Linked DNA regions of Cricetulus griseus. The protein of the gene in region 3 purifies or fractionates together with the protein of the main gene of each other region. This does not show direct contact. Links are inferred from orthologs where the notes say so. Each region holds a gene or a part of one and is shown on either strand. Other genes may lie near its edges.

Evidence for each region.
Region 1: the proteins of Nrbp1 (region 3) and TSC22 domain family protein 1 purify together in Homo sapiens (affinity purification with mass spectrometry; 6 studies listed by BioGRID and IntAct, with this or other methods). This does not show direct contact. The link is inferred for Cricetulus griseus from reciprocal best matches to the Homo sapiens genes NRBP1 and TSC22D1.
Region 2: the proteins of Nrbp1 (region 3) and Tsc22d2 purify together in Homo sapiens (affinity purification with mass spectrometry; 5 studies listed by BioGRID and IntAct, with this or other methods). This does not show direct contact. The link is inferred for Cricetulus griseus from reciprocal best matches to the Homo sapiens genes NRBP1 and TSC22D2.

What each region holds. Positions count from the first base shown.
Region 1 is NW_023276807.1:230,793,985-230,798,349, forward strand, and holds the start of TSC22 domain family protein 1, read left to right. Parts: upstream 1-1,481; 5' UTR 1,482-1,707; coding exon 1,708-4,365. UniProt on the Homo sapiens protein: Transcriptional repressor. Acts on the C-type natriuretic peptide (CNP) promoter. Acts to promote CASP3-mediated apoptosis.
Region 2 is NW_023276806.1:93,081,234-93,083,965, forward strand, and holds the end of Tsc22d2 (TSC22 domain family protein 2), read right to left. Parts: intron 2,324-2,732; coding exon 2,063-2,323; 3' UTR 604-2,062; downstream 1-603. UniProt on the Homo sapiens protein: Reduces the level of nuclear PKM isoform M2 which results in repression of cyclin CCND1 transcription and reduced cell growth.
Region 3 is NC_048600.1:13,143,727-13,147,375, reverse strand, and holds part of Nrbp1 (nuclear receptor-binding protein), read left to right. Parts: coding exon 1-106; intron 107-280; coding exon 281-403; intron 404-605; coding exon 606-707; intron 708-1,068; coding exon 1,069-1,158; intron 1,159-1,480; coding exon 1,481-1,521; intron 1,522-1,875; coding exon 1,876-1,970; intron 1,971-3,444; coding exon 3,445-3,528; intron 3,529-3,649. UniProt on the Homo sapiens protein: Required for embryonic development. Plays a role in intestinal epithelial cell fate and proliferation, thereby involved in the architectural development of the intestine potentially via the regulation of Wnt-responsive genes.

The DNA.
Region 1 (4,365 bases), on a different chromosome or scaffold from region 3:
ACGCGACCCGGATTCGCTCGCTCGCTCGCTCGCGCGCCCAAGTGCCCCACCCCCCACCGCCCTCAGGCGTCGGCCGCTCCGCCGGCCTTCGGCAATTTCCGTAGAGACAGCGCCGAGAGCTCGGCGCAGCCCGAAGACAGGCCGCCGCCTCCCCTAGTCAGACCCGGCTTTATGTCTGCAGCGCCGCGCGGCGCGCACGCGCAGACGCCATCTTCCCTCCTCTCCTCCGCGACCCCTCCCCCCGCCGCCTTCTCCTCCTCCTCCTCCTCCTTCTCCTCCTCCTCCTCCTCCTCCTCCTTCTTCAACTCGGTCGGCGCTCGACCCTCCTCCTTTCGCGTTGGGGCGCTGGTCCCTCCTCTCTTGATGCCGCGAGAGACCAGGGGCTACCGAGCAGCCCGAGAAGAGCACTAGTAACAACCACCGCAGCCCCCTCCTCGCCCGACGCCCTCCCACTCCCCCGCCCCGCGCCGCCACCGACCAACCCCACCTCTCATTTCTTTGAACGGCGTCGGCTGCAGTCGCTGCACCAGCCCCGTCTGGCCGCCGCCGCCGCCGCCGCTACCACCACCGCGAAAGGAGCCACCGCCACCGCCGCGCCGCCGCCGTCGCCGTCGCCCGCGGCCCCCCTCCCTACCTCCCCCTCTCCGTCCCTCCCTCCCTCCCGGCCGCGGGAGCAGCACGGTGCCGAGGCAGCCGGCGGGCTGAGAAGAGGACGCGAGCTCGCCCCTCCGCTCCCGCGCACGTCCCGCCGCCCGCCGGAGCAGCCCGGGCGCCGGCGCCCTCTTCCTCCCTGAGGACGTGTGCCGGAGCCGAGCGCCTACCCCGAGGGAGGAAAATGCTCGGGCTCCATGGCTGCCAGTGATGGAGCGGTCCCTGGGCTCCCGCTGCCGCCGCCACCACTGCCGCCGCCGCGCCCCGGCCGCGCTCCGCGAGGACCCGGCGTCTCTGCGCGCCGCCCGCGCGCGCGTTGCTGGGCTCACCGTACCGGGGCCCCTCCGCCGCCGTCGCCGTCGCCGCCTCCCGCTCGCCGCCGCGCCGCCCGGGTCCCAGCCGCGGCCAGTCTTTCCTCCCGGAGCAGCCGTCGCGAGCCCAGGGGGTTTGAGAGGGGCCGCGGGCCGCGGGGGAGGCCCGAGCGGGGCCGGCCGCGCCGGCAGGGGAGGTTGGAGCGACGCTGAGCTCGGGGCTCGCCGGCGGCCGCGGCGCCGGGGGTGGCGAGGGCCGGGCGACCGCTCGCTCCGCGCTGCCTCGGTGCAGGGCGAGCGGCGGGGCTTTGCAGTGGCCGCCGCCGCGGGAGGAGGGGGCTGAGCTGGCTCCGGAGTTGGCCAAAGAAGGTGGGCATTTCTCGCTTCTCCTCGCCTCCCCCGCCCCCTCCTGGGCTCCCCTCCCTCCCGCCCCGCACCCCACGTGAAGCGGAATATAAAGGGGGGTGTGTGAGTGGAGGGGAAAGTGAATGGCGAAGGACTGAAGGGGTCCCCCTTCAGTTCCCCAGCCACCTGGTTCACCCGGTTCATCCTCCCTTCCCGAAGCTAGCCCTCAAGGCAGGAGCAGCCGGCGCCTTCGGCAGAAGAGGAGAAGGAGGAGGAGAGGGAGGAGGAATCGCGTCGGGCGGAGCTTCAGGTCCTGTTCTCCTCTCCGGCTTCTCCATACAAAGATTACGGTGCAGAAGGAAATTGCACTCGCCTCCTCCGCCCCCCGGTACCCAGCACAATGCACCAGCCGCCGGACTCCGCTGCCGCGGCGGCCGCCGCTGCAGACATTAGTGCTAGGAAGATGGCGCACCCGGCAGTGTTCCCTCGAAGGGGCAGCGGTGGTGGCAGCGCCTCTGCTCTCAATGCAGCAGGTACCGGCGTCAGTAGTGCTGCTCCATCTTCTGAGGATTTTCCTCCTCCTTCGCTGCTCCAGCCGCCGCCTCCTGCTGCATCTTCCTCGCAGGGACCACAGCCTCCGCCTCCACAAAGCCTGAACCTCCTCTCGCAGGCTCAGCTGCAGGGACAGCCTCTTGCGCCGGGCGGAACTCAGATGAAAAAGAAAAGTGGCTTCCAGATAACTAGCGTTACTCCGGCCCAGATCTCTGCCAGCATCAGCTCTAACAACAGCATCGCAGAGGACACGGAGAGCTATGACGATCTGGATGAGTCTCACACAGAAGACCTATCTTCTTCCGAGATCCTTGATGTGTCACTTTCCAGGGCCACTGACTTGGGTGAGCCTGAACGCAGCTCCTCAGAAGAGACTCTGAATAACTTCCAGGAAGCTGAGACACCCGGGGCAGTCTCTCCTAACCAGCCCCACCTTCCTCAGTCTCATTTGCCTCACCTCCCACAACAAAACGTTGTGATCAATGGGAATGCTCATCCACACCACCTCCATCACCACCATCACATTCATCATGGGCACCACCTTCACCATGGACACCACCATTCATCCCATGCTGCTGTGGCCAGTTCGTCCATCCCTGGAGGGCCACCCTCGAGCCCAGTGTCCAGAAAACTCTGTACCACTGGAAGTTCTGATGGTGGTGTGCCAGTTGCACCTACTTCTGCTGTATCATCGAGTGGCTTGCCCGCATCTGTGATGACTAACATCCGGGCTCCAAGTACTACAGGCAGCATAGGTATAAATTCGGTTACTGCTGGCACAAATGCAACGAGTAATGTTAACATTGCTGCTGTGGGTAGTTTCAGTCCTAATGTGACGAGCAGCGTGCATGGCAATGCTAATATAAGTACAAGCAATATTCCTAATGCTGCTAGTGTAAGTGTTGGGCCTGGAGTTGCCAGTGCTGTTAATGTGAATGTCTTGAGTGGCATGGGCAATGGTACTGTGTCTTCCTCTCCTGTTGCTAACAGTGTCCTTAATGCAGCTGCAGGTATCACTGTGGGAGTGGTTTCAAGTCAGCAGCAGCAACAGCAACCGACAGTTAACACGTCAAGGTTCAGAGTTGTGAAGTTAGACTCTACCTCTGAGCCCTTTAAAAAAGGTAGATGGACTTGCACTGAGTTCTATGAAAAAGAAAATGCCCTGCCGGCTACAGAAGGCTTGGCGATTAATAAAGTGGTGGAGACTGTGAAACAAACCCCCACGGAAGTGTCTTCGGAGAGGGAGAGCACCAGCGGGAGTTCAGTGAGCAGTAGTGTCAGCACACTGAGTCACTACACAGAGAGTGTGGGAAGCGGAGAGATGGGAGCCCCTGCTGTGGTGGTGCAGCAGCAGCCGCAGCCACCACCACCACCACCACCAGGTCTTCAAGGTGTGGCCCTCCAGCAGATAGATTTCAGTAGCCCTGGTCCACAGAGTATTGCAGCAGTTAGTATACCACAGAGTATTTCTCAGTCACAGATGTCACAAGTACAATTACAGCCTCAAGAGTTGAGCTTTCAGCAGAAGCCAGGTCTTCAGCCTGTACCTCTGCAAGCCACTATGAGTGCAGCCGCCGGTATCCAGCCTGCCTCCGTCAATGTGGTTGGTGTAACGTCAGCTGTAGGTCAACAGCCTTCCATTTCCAGTTTGGCTCAACCCCAACTGCCGTATTCTCAGACAAGTCCTCCAGTGCAAACTCCTCTTCCAGGGGCACCACCCCAACAGTTACAGTATGGGCAGCAGCAACCAGTGGTTTCTACACAGATAGCTGCAGGCCATGGCCAGTCAATGACTCAAAATCCTACTGCAGAGTATGTACAGCAGCAGCCAATTCTTCAGGTGGCGATGTCCTCTGGACAGTCCAGTTCTGCAGGAGCAGCAGCAGGAACGTCAGGGATTCCTGTGGCTCAGCCACAGGGGATCCAACTGCCAGTGCAGCCCACAGCAGTACAAGCACAACCTGCAGGGGCATCTGGGCAGCCCATTGGCCAGGCTCAAACAGCAGTGTCTGCTGTACCAGCTGGCAGTCAAATTGCAAATATTGGTCAACAAGCAAACATGCCTACTGCAGTCCAGCAGCCATCTACCCAAGTTACACCTTCAGTTATCCAGCAAGGTGCTCCTCCATCTTCACAAGTAGTTCTACCTGCTGCAGCTGGCATTATTCATCAGGGAGTTCAAACTAGTGCTTCAAGCCTTCCTCAACAACTGGTTATCGCACCCCAGAGTACCTTGTTAACTGTGCCTCCCCAGCCGCAGGGAGTAGAAACAGTGGTTCAAGGAGTTGTTTCCCAGCAGTTGCCCGCAGGTAGTCCTTTGCCCTCTGCTAGTAGTGTTTCTGTTACAAATCAGGTTAGTTCAGCTGGTCCTGCTGGAATGCCTTCTGCCCCACCAAACTTAGTTCCACCACAGAATATAGCACAACCCCCGGCTACCCAAAATGGCAGTTTGGTTCAGAGTGTTAGTCAATCTCCCTTGATAGCCACTAACATAAATTTGCCTTTG
Region 2 (2,732 bases), on a different chromosome or scaffold from region 3:
TCACATACCAACAGCAGTTTCACATCCTATCTTGCCCACAGTGGCTCTACTAGAATCTCACTCTGCATCCTTAGGGTTATTACATACTCAAGTCTATATACTTATCTAGTTCTTTTAAGTATTTCTAATGTTACTAATTAACATAAAAGTTTTGCTGAGCATTATTTCCCATAGCACAACTAGAATATAAAATATTTGGTAATCTCATGTATGTCTCAATTTTGACTTTTGTTTGAGGCTAGAATGATTCAAATAAATAAAGAACATTTAACCTCTTCTAAGATGGAGAGTTAACCACTGTTTCTCAATAAGACTGAATGAGCTAGTAGGCTACCAATACAGGACATGTTCATTTCTACAGGCACCTTTCTGAATTCAAGTAAAAGTTTTGGTAGACGAGGATTTCCTATTTATATTGTTAACATAATATGAATATTGAGTACAAATATTGCTCACCATTCTTGTGTTCTTTAAATTATTTTACTTTGAAAATTTAAGAACTATCATTGTCATTAATAACATCATGGGTTTTCACTTAAGAAATTATTTTAAACCGTGAAAATACAAATCTAGTCAAATTCTGAACACATATAGAGCCAAATATTTGAACAAAACTGTAGTTTAATTTCAGAAAATGTGTTAAAATATATATTTTTACATCAATTTCTGACATACACTTAATGTGTTAGTATACACAAAATGATGCTTTCTCTTGAAACTGTATTTATGAAATGTACATTTTAATTTAAATACTCAGTATACACTGCACTTAATCTGCATGTTGCATTTATTAAATACATTAAAATTTGCAATGTAACAAAACGTTTTCTGCATATGAAATTCAAAACACCATTTTAAATGAACAAAAGATGGCTCACTTCATTTTTGTTTTTGTACAACTGGTGCATTGTACACTAGCTCAGCTCCACCATACGACCTGTTGGTTCTTTTTATTTGACATTGTTCACAGACTAGTACACAGTACAATAAGAGTGCTGGATAAAAACATGAGGTACGAAAGTGGTTCAAAGATTACAGGCCATGCAGATCATGCTAGACAGCAAAGAAAATTGTGACCAAGAAAACACTAAATAAAAATACATAAAGAATGTGCATTATAAAACAAAACAAAACTCCATTACACAGCTTTGCTTCTTTGGTTACAAAGTAGGTTGAACAATTTCACAGCTTTTTTTATTCCCACCCAAAAAAAAAAAAAAAAAAAAAAAAAAGTCATACGAAATGTTGAAAAGCAGAGGAATCGTGGCAATTTCTATTAGAAAGTAGAAACAAATGAACAAAGTTTTCTTCATGAAAATAGCCCAATTATTTATTATATCACAATAACTGGTGACTACCTGTACAGGTGCACTGTGTTTTTCATACTTACACTATACAAAATTTACATTCAAGCTGGATCTTTACTATTGAAAATAAATACCAACGGTAAATTGCCATTAGTGTTAGAAATGTGCCAGGATTCTTTTGTTCAATTATTGCCTAAACGTTTTATTTATTAAATGTAATCCTGTCTTTCAATTCCTTTACTGATACTTATAATTATTCAAAAAATTAAAAAAGTTCTGTGACATTGTTCATGTACATTATGAAAATAGCAGCCCTGTAATAAATAAAACACAAAATAAATGAAAACTTACGTAGGCAAATGTTATTGATATTGAAAGAAAAGTGGCTCTTTAGATGAACTGTTATTTATGTGACAGGAAGGCTCAAGGTGAATCCATGGGTGATAAGAAACATGGAAGAGCCACCAAAAATTTTAAAGATCCCACTCATGCGCACATGTAGAATGTAGACTCTGCTTGCTTTAATAAACCCCGTCTATTATTCTCCTCATGTACTGATGACATAGAAGTGGACATCAACAGTGCTGCATGACATCTTAGAGAGGGAAAGCTCCTGTAGAACGATTGTCTAATACTGAAAAGGCCAAGCACACAGCCGAAGCATGGCTACTTGCTTTCTATAAAGTGGATAGAACACCAGTGGCACACAAGGAAAGATTGCTTTCGGTTTTTCCTTAATGAGGCTTAAGAAAGCTTTATGCTGAGGAAACATTCGGCTGCTGTGGAGGTTGCGTTGGCTGAGGAGGCTGTGCTATCATTGCTTGTTGTTGAGAAGTGCTACCAGGATTGGCCTGTTGGGCTGGGAGTTGGGACAACTGATCATTGTTTGAAAGAGATTTTAACAGTGCATTTTCTCGTTCAAGTAAAGAGTTTCTTTCCACTAATTCTTTTATTTGCTCCTTTAGAACTTCCACTTCTTCTCTTACTGCATACATCAAATGGCTTTTCACCAGATCCTGTGAAAAACAAAATCAGGAAAGTCAAAAGAGTTATGAGAAACAAAGAATTACTTTACTTAGTTCTAGACTGTCTGGGTGCCTTATAAATAATAAATGGCTTTTATATATTTTTTTTTAAAGCAATTTTCTCCTCATGCTTTCAATGTTTCTACTGTATCTTGACTGGGCCTGTGGGAGTTGGGGTGGGAAAAGTATCTTTCCCAACTCGTATAGCAAATGTTCTTTCCTCCCAAAGCTTAGAAAGAACATTTTAAGATGTTGGATAGACAGCAGAGGATCATATTCCAATGGAAAGCTGCTTGCTAAAAAAACTAGTCACAGGGCTATTTTAGAGACAGAAGTGCCCCCAAGCCCCCACTTTAAGTGGACCAAAGGCTGATGTTTTTCTGATGAACACATACTGTAT
Region 3 (3,649 bases):
CTCTACAACCTCAGCTGCTTCCCCCGAGGAGGAAGAAGAAAGTGAAGATGAGTCTGAGATCTTGGAAGAGTCCCCCTGTGGACGCTGGCAGAAGAGGAGAGAAGAGGTAAGGTGATGGTGATGGCATTCTTTGGAGAGTAAGTTGTAAGCAGTGAGAACTAGAGTAGCTGTACAAAGGAGCAGACCAGACTTGAGTAGGGTGGAGTTGGAAGATGCTCATATGGAATACTAGAATGGCCGGTTGGTGAGGTGACTTAATTCTATTTGAATTGCTTCTCAGGTGAATCAGCGTAATGTACCAGGTATTGACAGTGCATACCTGGCCATGGATACAGAGGAAGGTGTGGAGGTTGTGTGGAATGAGGTACAGTTCTCTGAACGCAAGAACTACAAACTGCAGGAGGTAGGTAATGAGGCCTGGGGGCATTGGAACCAGTATTTAAACAACTGTTGTTGTTGGGAAAGTGACTGTGAGGAGAGCCTTCATGGTTAGATCATCTGTGAGGAGAGCCTTCATGGTTAGATCATCTGTGGGGAGGGGTAGGGAATGGCTTTCATATACTACAGTGATTTGTGAACTTTTGTCTCTGTCTCTCTTGCCCCAGGAAAAGGTCCGTGCAGTGTTTGATAATCTCATTCAATTGGAACATCTTAACATCGTTAAGTTTCACAAGTATTGGGCTGATGTTAAAGAGAATAAAGCCCGGGTAAGATTTTTTGCCTAGTATTTCCTGAACTCTTTGCTAGAAAGCAATTTCATTTACTGTCAATTTTACATTCAGAGGTTAAAATGAGGTAATTTTGAGACAAGAACTGAAATACACAGCTGTGACAAGGAGAGTAGGGCTTCATCTGCCATCTCTAGCATTTTCCAGCTAAAGATGGGGAGAAATGAGTGAACATTTGCTTGCTTCTGTATTTTCAGTATGCTGTTAAGCCTAAGAAAGTGATAATAAAGAAAAGTTGAACACATGTATACAAAGTTAACTATGTATCTGGTGTAAATGTCACCAAGTGAGAGATAATGTCTATATTAAAGCCTTAACAGGAAGTGCTTTGTTTCCCTAGGTGATTTTCATCACAGAATACATGTCATCTGGAAGCCTTAAGCAGTTTCTGAAGAAGACCAAAAAGAACCACAAGACTATGAATGAAAAGGTATGCAGAGATGCTAGACATAGTTTTAGGCTGGTTTAGGGATTTAAAAAGATGGAGGTAATTATGTAGCTAATTAGGGAGGGATGGATTAGTGGGAAGGCTGAGAGAGCAAAGTATTGCTAGGTGTGGTGGCACATGCCTTTGGTTCCAGAGGCAGAGGCAGATAGGTCTCTTGAGCTCGAGGCCAGTGTGATCTTCATAGTTTCAGGACAGCTAAGGTGATATAGTGAGACCCTGGAGAAGGAGGGTGGTGGAGAGGGGAGAAGAAAGGAGGAGAGAGAGAGAATATTACTGCTGATCCTTGGACCAAACTCTTTTCTAGGCTTGGAAACGCTGGTGCACACAGATCCTATCTGCCCTAAGGTAAGTAATATCTGGTTAGTTTTTCCCCAGTCTCTCCTGATTTATTTTCTTAAACAGACTGCAAGGCACTACTCTGCTTTTCTAGTCTGCCTCTCCCCAGTTTCTTTGAGTCATGTGCTGACAAGATTAGCCCCGCCTCTTATGGGGTACTCCTAAAGTCCTAACCACTAGAGTAACCCTCCCTCATTCTCCTCCTGCTTATCCTATTTAAGTCACCTGGCTCAATAGATTCAGAGTACAGGGATTATCATTATGGTGACCAGGATGAGACCTGGCCCTTGCTCCTCTTAACCCTTGGGGTCCCCCTGCCCTTAATTTCCTAGTGGCCCCTCTAACAGCCCAGTGCCCCCACAGCTACCTGCACTCCTGTGACCCTCCCATCATCCATGGGAACCTGACCTGTGACACCATCTTCATCCAGCACAACGGACTCATCAAGATTGGCTCTGGTGAGGGGAGGGAGAGATTCTGGGCAGGGGAGCCTCGGGAATTTGGGAGCCATGGGGGTAAGGTCAAAGGCATAGGGAGAACAGTGAGTTTTGAGGTGTGGGCTGGTTATAAGAGAGAGGCTTTTAGTAGAGGTGATTTATAGGGAGAGACCAATTAGTGAGATGGGGTAGGGTATACAGTCTTATACTTCTTGGAGAGAAACTTGGACTAATACAGAGAAATTGAAAGGAGGCTGAGAAAGGGCAAGAGATGGAGATAAGGTCTGACTTGCGCCCTTTGGGCCAAACCCTACCAAAGAGGTTTCCAGACTGCCTGCTGTGAGTGCTTTCATTTGCTGTGTATTTGTGTGCAGTGACATTTCCGTGTGCCGTGTCTGTGTGTTGTTACCATTTGTCTGGGGCTTGGCTGCTCCATCGCTCACAACTTTTCTCTGTTTTCCTCCCTCCCGCTTACGGGCTGCTCTGTTCCCAACAGTCTTTCATAGGATTTTTGCTAATGGTGAGAGCTCCCTCTGCCCCACTTGGGGCTCTGTTTGTGCTCCCTTTGCTCCCTCTGCGGCTGCCCAGTGCATGCAGTCGTGGGAGCAAGGCCTGTTCCCTGCTTCCTGTCCTAATTATGCTTGCTTAAGCTTTTGCCCTGCCAGCCCTCCACCTGCTTGCCCCTTTGTAACCTGCTTGTTTCCTGTGGATTCTGCTTGGCTGGATACTTCCTCTTAGTCCTATTCCCCTTCATCATCCGGCTGGCTCCCTAAATCATACTGTGCTCCTAGATTCTCTGTGACTTGTGTCATTGCTACGATCAGAGTGAGTTCAGCTTGGGCCTGACCCTGGTTCCTCATTCAGTCCTGTGGTAGGTTTGATGTTGAGGGATAAAGTTTTAGACAAGAGTTTAAAGCTTTGGTGGATTAAAGGTGAAACTGATTTCAGGGTATTGGTTCACTATTGAATTATTTTTTTGAGTTTCCATCAACACAGATGGGTAAGGAACAGGCTAGCTCCTTGGTTGTATATTAATGCTGCTTTGCCTTTCTTATCCAGGTTCATGAGGTCTCCAGTTGTCCTATAGTAGGAAGGACTGCCTGTGTTTTTATGTTAATTGCAGGGCGGATGAATCAAATAAAACCTAGCATTTTCATGGCCTATGGATTTGATAGATCTGGGGCATTGGAAAGATGAGCAAGTCACAAATGAAAGTTTTTCCTTTGACTGTGTTACTTGATGAACCTAAAGCCTCAGTGTCTGTCTGTACAGAGTGTAGACTTTGTTGTTCCTGAGTTAGGGACCATAGGCTGCAGAAGGGGGAAGATAGGTGGTGTTCATATGTAGTCTATAGCTCAGCACTGGGAGAGTGGTAGGTTTGTGTCCATCGAGTATTAGAAAGGACACTTCAGGAGAAACATGGCTTTTGGAGCCTCTCTCAAGAGTCAGATCATGCTTTGGTGGTGGTCAGACTGTGGGTGTCTCCTACTCCTAGTGGCTCCTGACACTATCAACAATCATGTGAAGACTTGCCGGGAAGAGCAGAAGAACCTACACTTCTTTGCGCCAGAGTATGGAGGTGAATAGCCTTGCCCCCCTGCCCAGTCTCAGATCCTGCTTTAAAAAAATTAAGGTCCCTCAGACAGATTGTGCCCTTCTATCTACTCCCTCCCTGATAGAGCCACCCCAGGTTCTTGGTT